Callithrix jacchus: one gene and its partners. The protein of the gene in region 2 interacts with the protein of the main gene of each other region in a pairwise test. Links are inferred from orthologs where the notes say so. Each region holds a gene or a part of one and is shown on either strand. Other genes may lie near its edges.

What was found.
Region 1: the proteins of ZYX (region 2) and CASS4 interact in binary tests that used the Homo sapiens proteins (3 or more experiments, as listed by UniProt). The link is inferred for Callithrix jacchus from reciprocal best matches to the Homo sapiens genes ZYX and CASS4.
Region 3: the proteins of ZYX (region 2) and U3 small nucleolar ribonucleoprotein IMP3 interact in binary tests that used the Homo sapiens proteins (3 or more experiments, as listed by UniProt). The link is inferred for Callithrix jacchus from reciprocal best matches to the Homo sapiens genes ZYX and IMP3.

The regions. Positions count from the first base shown.
Region 1 is NC_133506.1:52,060,457-52,064,149, forward strand, and holds the start of CASS4 (cas scaffolding protein family member 4), read left to right. Parts: upstream 1-882; 5' UTR 883-1,085; coding exon 1,086-1,121; intron 1,122-3,693. UniProt on the Homo sapiens protein: Docking protein that plays a role in tyrosine kinase-based signaling related to cell adhesion and cell spreading. Regulates PTK2/FAK1 activity, focal adhesion integrity, and cell spreading.
Region 2 is NC_133512.1:104,123,495-104,127,244, reverse strand, and holds the start of ZYX (zyxin), read left to right. Parts: upstream 1-959; 5' UTR 960-1,024; intron 1,025-1,171; exon of another isoform or gene 1,172-1,174; 5' UTR 1,175-1,186; coding exon 1,187-1,394; intron 1,395-1,854; coding exon 1,855-2,054; intron 2,055-2,200; coding exon 2,201-2,293; intron 2,294-2,408; coding exon 2,409-2,918; intron 2,919-3,750. UniProt on the Homo sapiens protein: Adhesion plaque protein. Binds alpha-actinin and the CRP protein. Important for targeting TES and ENA/VASP family members to focal adhesions and for the formation of actin-rich structures.
Region 3 is NC_133509.1:22,563,313-22,566,049, reverse strand, and holds U3 small nucleolar ribonucleoprotein IMP3, read left to right. Parts: upstream 1-1,081; 5' UTR 1,082-1,137; coding exon 1,138-1,692; 3' UTR 1,693-2,226; downstream 2,227-2,737. UniProt on the Homo sapiens protein: Component of the 60-80S U3 small nucleolar ribonucleoprotein (U3 snoRNP). Required for the early cleavages during pre-18S ribosomal RNA processing. Part of the small subunit (SSU) processome, first precursor of the small eukaryotic ribosomal subunit.

The DNA of each region.
Region 1 (3,693 bases), on a different chromosome or scaffold from region 2:
ACCAACCTGGCCAACATGGTGAAATCTTGTCTCTACTGAAAATACAAAAATCAGCCGGGTATGGTGAGGGGCCACCTGTAGTCCCAGCTGCTTGGGAGGCTGAGGCAGGAGAATCACTTGAACCTGGGAGGTAGAGGTTGCAGTAAGCCAAGATTGTGTCATCACACTCCAGCCTGGGTGACAGAGAAAGATTCCATCTCAAAAAAAAAAGAATACATACTTATTTTGCACAGTATCTCCATGGTGTAGGTCCTCGCTAGAGATTGGATCTGAATTTAGGGAAAGTAAAAAGAGTTGGCAAGTGATGGTAAACTGCATGAGCTAGCGGGAGTTTCAAGTACAGCACACAGGTTGAGTCTTTGATTTCAGAAAGAGAATACATGTGTGGGGCTCGGCATAGCCCTTAGTGCAGAGCCAGCACATAGATGTTCATCATTAGGTACCTTGAGCAAAGACCAGGAGGTGAGCAGGGAGAATGTGCAACTGACAGCGGGAAGATTGGAGACTGTGTCCTTTAAGGCAGCCTGCTTGATGGCTTTTATCCTGGCTGTCATAAGGCAAGTTCTAGGGAGCAGGAAGGAAGAAATGCTGACCGCTATCAGATATTTGGCCTAGTGGCCTCTCATCAGGGAAATGAGCTTGGTCTGTTCAATGGGAGTTGTTCCACAGAGTTCAAAGGACAAGAATGCTATGTGTTCATACACGGAGCTCTTCAAAGTAGGAACTTCACCCTATAAAGCAGAAGAGCGGTGGTTTTCTTTTCTTCTTCTTCTTTTGTGGTTTCACATAGCAAATGAGTTAGTCTCTACTTATAGACAAAGTGAGACGTCAGGCACTGAGGCGTGAGTGTGGCTTATATTTCTGGTCCTCCCCTCCTTCACTGCTTTCATTTTACTCTTATCGCGTGTTCCAGAAAGTTTGCCCGCTGGGAGAATCTTTTTGACCACTTCCCATGAGTTGTCAGATAGCTCCATAGAATTCAGTTTCTGCGAACCAGCCAGAAGCATACAGTGACATTGCATAATCTGCCTCTGAAGCGGAGATATTAGCTGTAGAGCTCAGGGGAGCTGCTCCACATCACCGACATGAAGGGAACAGGCGTCGTGGACGCTGTGCCCAAGGTGAGTGTTGTGGGGCTGTTTGAATGGGCTTTGTCGGGAAGCAAGCTGCGATGAGGAAGAATGTTGACTGGCTTTAGTTGTGACTTTCTGATAAAGGTAAAGGTGGAATAACATTGACATGGGAGTTTGAGATGGGAAAGTTTAATATAAGTTTAAGTGTGGGAATAGATGTGCTGTAAAGCTCCTTACCAGTTTCTGTCCAAGATGGGTGATGATGACTTTGTAGTAGAAATCAACTTACTTGATTGACAGCACCATCTGTCACTTTGTGTCCAGCAAACTTCTGCAGCAAGATGTGAGTCTGCCTCAGCCCCTGTTAATTCTTTCTTTCTCTGGACCCCAAAGACACTCAGTGTCACTCTAACTGTCCTGATTGGTTTCTGCGCTCACCTCCAGATAGCAGAGCCTAGCCCCTTGCCTGCAGCCTCCCATGCTGAGCCCACAGTGGCCACTTACATGTTATTTTCATGTTAACTTGTATATTGTGTGAGCAAAGCTGGAGCTTTCAGACAGACTTCACATCTGTCATGAATCAAAAAAGATTCACTATTTAGAAAGGTAAAAGAAGCTGGGCACAGTGGCACATACCTGTACTCCCAGCTACTGGAGAGGCTGAGGTGAGAAGATTAATTGAGCCCAGAAGTTCGAGTCCAGCCTGGGCAACATAGCAAGACTTCATCTCAAAAAAAAGAAAAATTAAAATGGCTATCATATTAAAAAATTTACCCAGACATAAAGAAAATGAAGCTCAAGGTTGTATTTTCATCTGTCTGTGCCTTTTTAAATTTTAAGTAGAACAGGAAAAAAAAAAAGAAACAAGCACTAAATAGGGAGCTTGCTTATTTTTTAATAATAATACAAGTGACTAGTGTGGCTGGGCACAGTGGCTCACACCCATAATCCCAGCACTTTGGGAGGCCAAGGCAAATGGATCACTTGAGGCCAGGAATTTGAGACCAGCCCAGCCAACATGACAAAACCTTGTCTCTACCAAAAATACAACAGTTAGCTGGGCGCAGCGGCGTATGCCTATGATCCGAACTACTCGGGAGGGTGAGGCACAAGAATCACGTGAGCCTGGGAGGCAGAGGTTGCAGTCAGCTGAGATCACACCATTGCACTGCAGCCTGGGCAACAAAGCAAGACTCTGTCTCAAAAAAAAAAAAATTTTTTTTTAAAGTCGCTGGTGGAACTTATGGGTGAGTAATATATATATATAATCTGTACATATATAAAATATATATACTGACAATAGTAACCAACCCTTACTATCTATATGCTAGACCCTGTGCTGAGTGCTCTACTTGCACTTTCTCATTGTTACATCTTCATAACATGCTCACGAATCAGAGATATTATTCTTAATCCCCTGTCACGGACAAGGAAGCGATGCCTCGCTGACTTGCCCAAGGCCATACAGCTGGTAGGTGGCAATGCCAGGAATCAACCCCAGGCAGACTAAGCTCAGAGTCCCACTCTTACTCGGCTCATTATATTCTCTCCCTTGGACCAGGAGTTGTCAAACTCTTTTCATAAAGAGCCAGATAGTATTTTATGCTTTGCAGGCCAAATACAATCTCTGTTGCATATTGTTGTTTGTTTAGGCAGTCCTTAAGATAATACAATCATTCTTCACTTACGGGTCATCATCTAGACTGGTCCACAGGCCCTTATGTAGTAGCAGCCTATGTCATCTCAGTTCACGTACAGTACCCCCACCCAGCCACACAGTACCGAGAAACACTCAAGTCTTCAACTCCTAGTTCAGAGGCATCTTCGGTTCACAGTTTCTTGGGCGTCCCTACAGAAACTATCAATTCATCCATAAGATACATTTTTTAAGGTTTTACACAAATAGGAGCTGTAAGTAAAGAGCTGTTAAGCTTCTTGCCTTTAACAACTAACAATACGCACTGGTGTTCAGTTCATATTAGTGCAGTTGATCCATCTCATTAATCTTTTTTTTTTTTTTTTTTTTTGAGACAGAGTCTTGCTGTGTCACCAGGCTGGAGTGCAGTCTCAGCTCACTGCAACCTCCACCTCCTGGGTTCAAGCAATTCAGGCATGCACCACCACACCCAGCTAAGTTTTGTATTTTTAGTAGAGACAGGGTTTCACCATGTTGGCCAGGATGGTCTAGATCTCTTGACCTTGTCATCTGCCCGCCTCAGCCTCCCAAAGTGCTGTGATCACAGGTGTACACCACCGTGTCCAGCCTCCATCTCATCCTAATGCCTATCTTGTTGCTTAATTGCTTTATAAATGGTAGCACAATGCTTCAAGGGGTCATGTCATGTCAGTGGTCCTTAGCTTTGTTGCATTCACCTTTAAAATAACTCTGCCTTTCATTCAGGGCCACTGCAGATGGCCTTTCAGACCCTGAGGTTCACCTTTGTACATTGGATATAAACAGTGACTGGTCCTGCAAAGTGTTCCTAATTCTACCTGCTGGCCAGTAGCTTCGTTGCCAACAGAGCCGCTTTCACCTTTGTGCCTAGCAGATTTTGTATAATTACCAGACTGTTTTATTCTGTTTTTAAAAAATTGTTTTATGGAACAAGGGGAAATTTTT
Region 2 (3,750 bases):
GCTCCACCAGGCGCGGTCTCAGAATGCCCAAGAGCCCCAGCGTCGCCCGGGGTCTCCTAGAGTGGGTCGTGGTGGGCACTGAAGAGCCATCAGAGGGGCAGCCCGCTACCGCGTCGGTTCTTCCCGGTCCCCAGTCCGCAGGTGGCCGCCACCTCGGCCCCGCCTCCGCCCTCCCACCTCCATTCCTGGCCCCGCGGGCCCGAACCGTCCCTCTCGCAACCGATCCTCTGGCGGGGGCGCGGGGGATGCGAATTCCTAGAAGCCTGAAGGGGCTACCCAGAGTTGGAAGTTCGTATCCCGGAGAATGCTGGAGGTTCCGGCTCACACACCCACTCCGGGCACGGAATCGGTGGGGGGGGGGGGTGCCGGGAGGAAGAACGCCCGGCTCCTCATCCCCCATCCCCTTACACCCTAGAGCCCAGCTGCAAGCGTCCGGCACCCCAGGCTGACTCAGAGGTGCCTGGGTAGCGGGTGGTGGCGGGAGGGGACCAGGTAACGGCAGGTCCGAGGGCTGGTCGCTGGGCCCAGCCGGAGACGCCCAGGGGCTGCGTGGCTACCTCCGGGGCACCCGCCCCACCTCCGCCGCTGAGCCCGGAGGGGGACCGTGAGTCAGATCTCGGGCGCCCGCGGGTCGGGCGGGGAGGGTGGGCAGGTCAGGAAATGACATCAGAGGCCTGTGCTCGGGGAGTTGGGGTCCGAGCCGGGCCGGGGTGGCGGGGGCGGCTGTGAGTGGGGTTGCGGGGCCGGACTTCGGCGGAGCCTCGGGCCTGGGGCAGGATCCGGGCCCCTTCCTGGGGGTGTTTCCTGCCTGGTCCGCCCTTCCCCGCTCTCCCCGCCCCCTCTCCGGGCAGCTCCTTGTATGGTCTGGGCGCCTCTCTCTCCCCGCCCCCTCTCTCCTCCCTCCCTCCTCCTTCCGTGGGTCCTTCCCCGCCCGGCCGGAGGCTGCTCCGGACCGGGACGCAGAATCCGCGGACCCGGCGCCGAGGCGGCCACCCGAGACGCGGCGCGCACGCTCCGGCCCGCGGTGAGGCGCTGGGAGCGGCCGGGCGGCCCCACGGAGAGGGGGTGCGGGGCGCCGGGAGGGGGCGCGTGGGGGTCGCCGAGAGCAGCTGGGACCGCCGGGGGCTCCTGAACCGGACTCGGCGCTGCGTAACCCGGTGTCCCACCCCAGCAGCCCGGCCTGGCCATGGCGGCCCCCCGCCCGTCTCTTGCGATCTCCGTTTCGGTCTCGGCTCCGGCTTTTTACGCCCCGCAGAAGAAGTTCGGCCCTGTGGTGGCCCCAAAGCCCAAAGTGAATCCCTTCCGGCCTGGGGACAGCGAGCCTTCCCCGGCGCCTGGGGCCCAGCGCGCACAGATGGGCCGGGTCGGCGAGGTCCCCCCGCCTCCCCCGGAAGGTATGCAGCGGGGCTTGGGGACTGGACCTCGGCAGGCGCCGGGGTGGGGGGCAGTAGTTTCGGGAATTTGGGGATGTCTGGAAAGGTTGTTGCCGAGGGGGCTGGGCGCAGCCACCCTGTCCCGAGCAGATGTTCTTACCTCATCGTGGAGCTCGTGGCTGGGAGCCAGGGCTCCTGGGACCGTTCCAAGTCCCCCGCCTGGGGGTGGGAGGCGGGAATGTGGGCCACGAATCTTACCCTCCGGGTCCGTTTTCCGAAGTGTAACGGGAGCTGCACCACTTCTCCGCCATGCCCCTGGCCTTTCCTGACCCGGTGTTCTCAGGGTGCCCTGTGCCCCTTTTTTGCTTTCCCACACGCTCCGGGACCCCCAAGAGTTCTTGGGTCAGGGGTTAGAGTGGTAAACCGAGCTTGGGTGAGGGTAGACGGACCCCGGCCGACGTCTCTCCTCTTCCTACCCCAGACTTTCCCCTACCCCCACCTCCCCTCGCTGGGGATGGCGACGATGCAGAGGGTGCTCTGGGAGGTGCCTTCCCGCCGCCCCCTCCCCCCATCGAGGAATCGTTTCCCCCTGCGCCTCTGGAGGAGGAGATCTTCCCTTCCCCGCCGCCTCCGCTGGAGGAGGACGGAGGGCCTGAAGCCCCCATACCGCTCCCACCACAGGTATGGAGACCTGGGACGGGCGGCCGCACCAGGACACCCCCAACGAGAGGAGAAGGTCCTTTCTTCTTACCTCCTCTGCACCTCTGCCCTGTTGGGGGAGGGGGGGTGGAGGCATGGAATAGGTGCTCTGACCTCTGACCCTCTAGCCCAGGGAGAAGGTGAGCAGTATTGACCTGGAGATCGACTCTTTGTCCTCACTGCTGGATGACATGACCAAAAATGACCCTTTCAAAGCCCGGGTAAGGGAACAGAGAGTAGGAAAAGCAGGGTCCAAGGCCAGAGAGACTGGGGATAGAGCTATGGAGGATGGTGTTCTCCTGACTGCATCTCTCTTCCCTCTCCCTCCCCTTGCAGGTGTCATCTGGATATGTGCCCCCACCAGTGGCTACTCCATTCGTTTCTAAGTCCAGTACTAAGCCTACAGCCGGGGGCACAGCACCCTTGCCTCCTTGGAAAGCCCCTTCCAGCTCCCAGCCTCTGCCCCAGGCTCCCACTGTGAGCCAGACACAGTTCCCTGTTCCACCCCAGCCCCAGCCCCAGGCTAAGCCTCAGGTTCATGTCCAGCCCCAGCCTGTGTCTTTGGCTAACACTCAACCCCGAGGTTCCCCAGCCCCATCTCCGGCACCAGCCCCTAAGTTTTCTCCAGTGACTCCTAAGTTTACTCCTGTGGCTTCCAAGTTTAGTCCTGGAGCCCCAGGTGGACCTGGGTCACAGCCGAATCAAAAATTGGGGCACTCCGAAGCTATTTCTGCTGGCACAGGCACCCCTCAACCTCCCAGCTTCACCTATGCTCAGCAGAGGGAGAAGCCCCGAGTGCAGGAGAAGCAGCACCCTGTGCCCCCACCGGCTCAGAACCAAAACCAGGTGAGGGATGCTGGTAGGACAAGGCTGGGACCCGGGCACTGGGGCGGGACTGAGTCAGGAGCCAGAGCATCAGCACGAAGGTGACTGGAGAGTCAGAATGGACATAGGGCTGGTGGGATAGGAATTCTTATCCTGCAGGGTTAGCCTGGTGAAACAAACAATGGTAAGAAAATGCTCCTCTGGAGAAGAGAGGCCTTGCTGGGTGGGGCCTGACTGGGAGGGCGCAGAGAGCACAGGCTCTGGATTAGGAGGAGGAGGATCTGGTGGACCTTTCCTTGTGACTTTGTCCCAGAATGTTAAAGGGAGGGATGAGATCACCAGTCCCACCTTGGTTTTTCCCATTCTTGGTTCTCGTGTTAATCTCCCTGCTCCTCTGAGCACTCTTTCTGCCCGAGGGCTTGGAGATAAGTCAGCCCCAGTAAACATGGGCTGAGCCAGCATCCACCAAGTTCCAGGCACTGTGCTCTGTGCCCAGGAGACTGGGACACAAGAGGGAAGATCTCTGCAAGAAGCTCAGCCTTCAGGTGTCAGATGGACCTAGGATGGAATTCCTGGCTCAGCTTCTCCCAAGTCCTTAGACTGGGCAAGTCAGGTGAACCCTGAGCCTCAGTTTCTCCATCTTTAGCATTATCTACTCCATACAGTGGTTGTGAAGATTAGGTGAGCTAATACCTAGAGAGTGTTGGGTTCTGTATCTAGCACATAAATACTCAAAATAGAAAAGCCGTAATTACACAATGGTTCTTGCCTTCTAGTTCAGGAGGTAAGATCGTCCAATTTCTGGTGACTAAGATGACTCTCATGGTCATCCAGTCCAGCCATCCATACTGAT
Region 3 (2,737 bases), on a different chromosome or scaffold from region 2:
GTGGCGTCAAATGCCTGGGCAAAAAGGGGTTCGGTCTGCAGCGCTACCCTCAGATTAATTTACGGATGCAACTAACCCAAACAGCATTAAATTTGCCAACTCAATGCTTGGTGGCCAGAGATGCATGTCAAGATAATTCATTTGAGCACAGACTAAAGGATTTGGACTTGTACTTATAGTCCAAGTTTCTCAAACTTGCTGTTTTTTACGAATCATCTGATTCATAACGCAAGTGTTGCGTTAATAATACAGATTTCCAGGCGGCTCCCTTATAGATTCCGATTCTGTGCTCCTAGGAAGCAGCCAGGCAATCAGTATTTCATGGGTTCGGTGCCACCTGGTCCAACTTGACAGTGAAGAATCACTCCGCCTGCCAGGTGAGCGGATCAGCTGAGATCAGGAGTTCGAGACCAGCTTGCCCAATATGGAGAAACCCTGTCTCTTGTAAAAATACAAAATTAGCCAGCGTGGCGGCCCATGCTTGTAATCTCAGCTACTCAGGAGGCTGGGGGAGGAGAACTGCTTGAACCGGGGAGGCGGAGGTTGCAGTAAGCCGAGATCACGCCACTGCACTCCAGCCTGGACAACAAGAAAGAAACTCCGTCTTAAAAAAAAAAAAAAAGGACCTGACGCTGGCGGCCGGCGGGAACTACCAGGTCAGCCCCAGGACAGTCCGCCCCGCAAGCACTCCCACGGCACCGCAGGAGCCCAGTTAGCACAGTAAACCCAATCAACAAGCCACAGTCACCCCTCTTCCCCAAAAATGGCCTCTTCAGCTCTAGCACGGAAGACCGTAACAGTCCCCAAAGGGCATTAGTCTTGGAGGAAATGATGTCTACACAAACAGTTTTGGCTACTAAAAACCATGCGGAGCCTCGTAGGTACCCGTCCACACCACCTCCCTCCGGTGCATCTACCCACTCCTTCACCAAACGCGAAGAAAAAAAGAAACGCGAGATGCCAGTGCAGAGGCGTGGTCTCACCTTGACCAATGGGAAGTGAGGGCGTGACCCTAAGCTTTTCTTTCATTGGCTCAGGGTCCCCAGGCTTCCAGGTTTTGGCGCGCTGGGGCAGAAACCGCGCAGGCGTCAGAACGCGCTCTCAGCCTCGGGTCCTGCTGCTGAGGTTTCCGCCATCATGGTGCGGAAGCTTAAGTTCCACGAGCAGAAGCTGCTGAAGCAGGTGGACTTCCTGAACTGGGAGGTCACCGATCACAACCTACACGAGCTGCGCGTGCTGCGGCGTTACCGGCTGCAGCGGCGGGAGGACTACACGCGCTACAACCAGCTCAGCCGTGCCGTGCGTGAGCTGGCGCGGCGCCTGCGCGACCTGCCCGAACGCGACCCGTTCCGCGTGCGCGCTTCCGCCGCGCTGCTGGACAAGCTGTATGCTCTCGGCCTGGTGCCCACGCGCGGTTCGCTGGAGCTTTGCGACTTCGTCACGGCCTCCTCCTTCTGCCGCCGCCGCCTTCCCACCGTGCTCCTCAAGCTGCGCATGGCACAGCACCTTCAGGCTGCTGTGGCTTTTGTGGAGCAAGGCCACATACGCGTGGGCCCTGACGTGGTTACCGACCCCGCCTTCCTTGTCACGCGCAGCATGGAGGACTTTGTCACTTGGGTCGACTCGTCCAAGATCAAGCGGCACGTGCTGGAGTACAACGAGGAGCGCGATGACTTCGATCTGGAAGCCTAGAGGCTCTCCCACTCTCCACGGCTGTCTTTTACAGATGGGAAAACTGAGACCTGATGCTGGGATTCTCTGAGGGTGCTCTCCCCACGGGTGTCAGACGGTTGTAGGTTCTTAAGAACTTGATACATCAAGGGCAGGCTGTGCACAGAGCCACTGGAGGTGCGTCCTTGTTTTCCAGGAAATGTTATTAGAACTTGGACTACTGATTTTTGTGCCTTGGGAAACAGTGGGAAGTAACTTGGTGCTGCTCTGGGGTATTGTTGGCTTCTTGCGTTGGAAACTTTGTAATGTAAAAGCAAAAACTGCAAATCCCCACGCTCTGTTTCCCTTTATCGACTTGTAACTGGACTGGTTCCATTCATTTAACTCGAATTCTTGCCCCTGGCCATGGGTTTAAGCTGTGTAGAGATGATGGGGAGTTTGGTGGGCTCAAGTTTTTATAAACTCAGTGAGACTAGTGTGTTCAGGATCTCCTCCCTTGTTTAAAGGAATGCTTTCCTAATGCCAATAAATTACTCAGCTGCTTTGTAAGTGCAACTTTTTATCTGTATGCTTTTGTTTTCTTCTTTCCTCAAGACGGACTCCTGCTCTGTCACCCAGGCTGGGTGCAGTGGCGAGATCTCAGCTCACTGCAACCTCAGTCTCCTGGGTTCAAGCAAGTCTCCTGCCTCAACCTCCCGAGTAGCTAGGATTACAGGTGCCTGCCACTGCGCCCGGATAGTTTTTGTATTTTTAGTTGAGATGATTTCCCCATATTGGCCGGGCTGGTCTCTAACTCCTGACCTCGTAACCCGCTCACCTTGGCTTCCCAAAGTGCTAGGATTACCGGCATGAGACACCGTGCCTGGCCTCTAGTTTTCTTATATAGGGTCATATTTATGCATCCCAGGAACCCAGAGAAAAGGAATAGAGTCAGCAGCGACCTGCCTGTGGATGAGCTCTGCAGTCGGGACCACATATGGAGGATGCAGGATGTTGTACAGGATTCGGCATATTTGTCACTTTACCAGTCCCTTCCTTGGAAGGAATGTTTTGGCAGAGCTCTTCC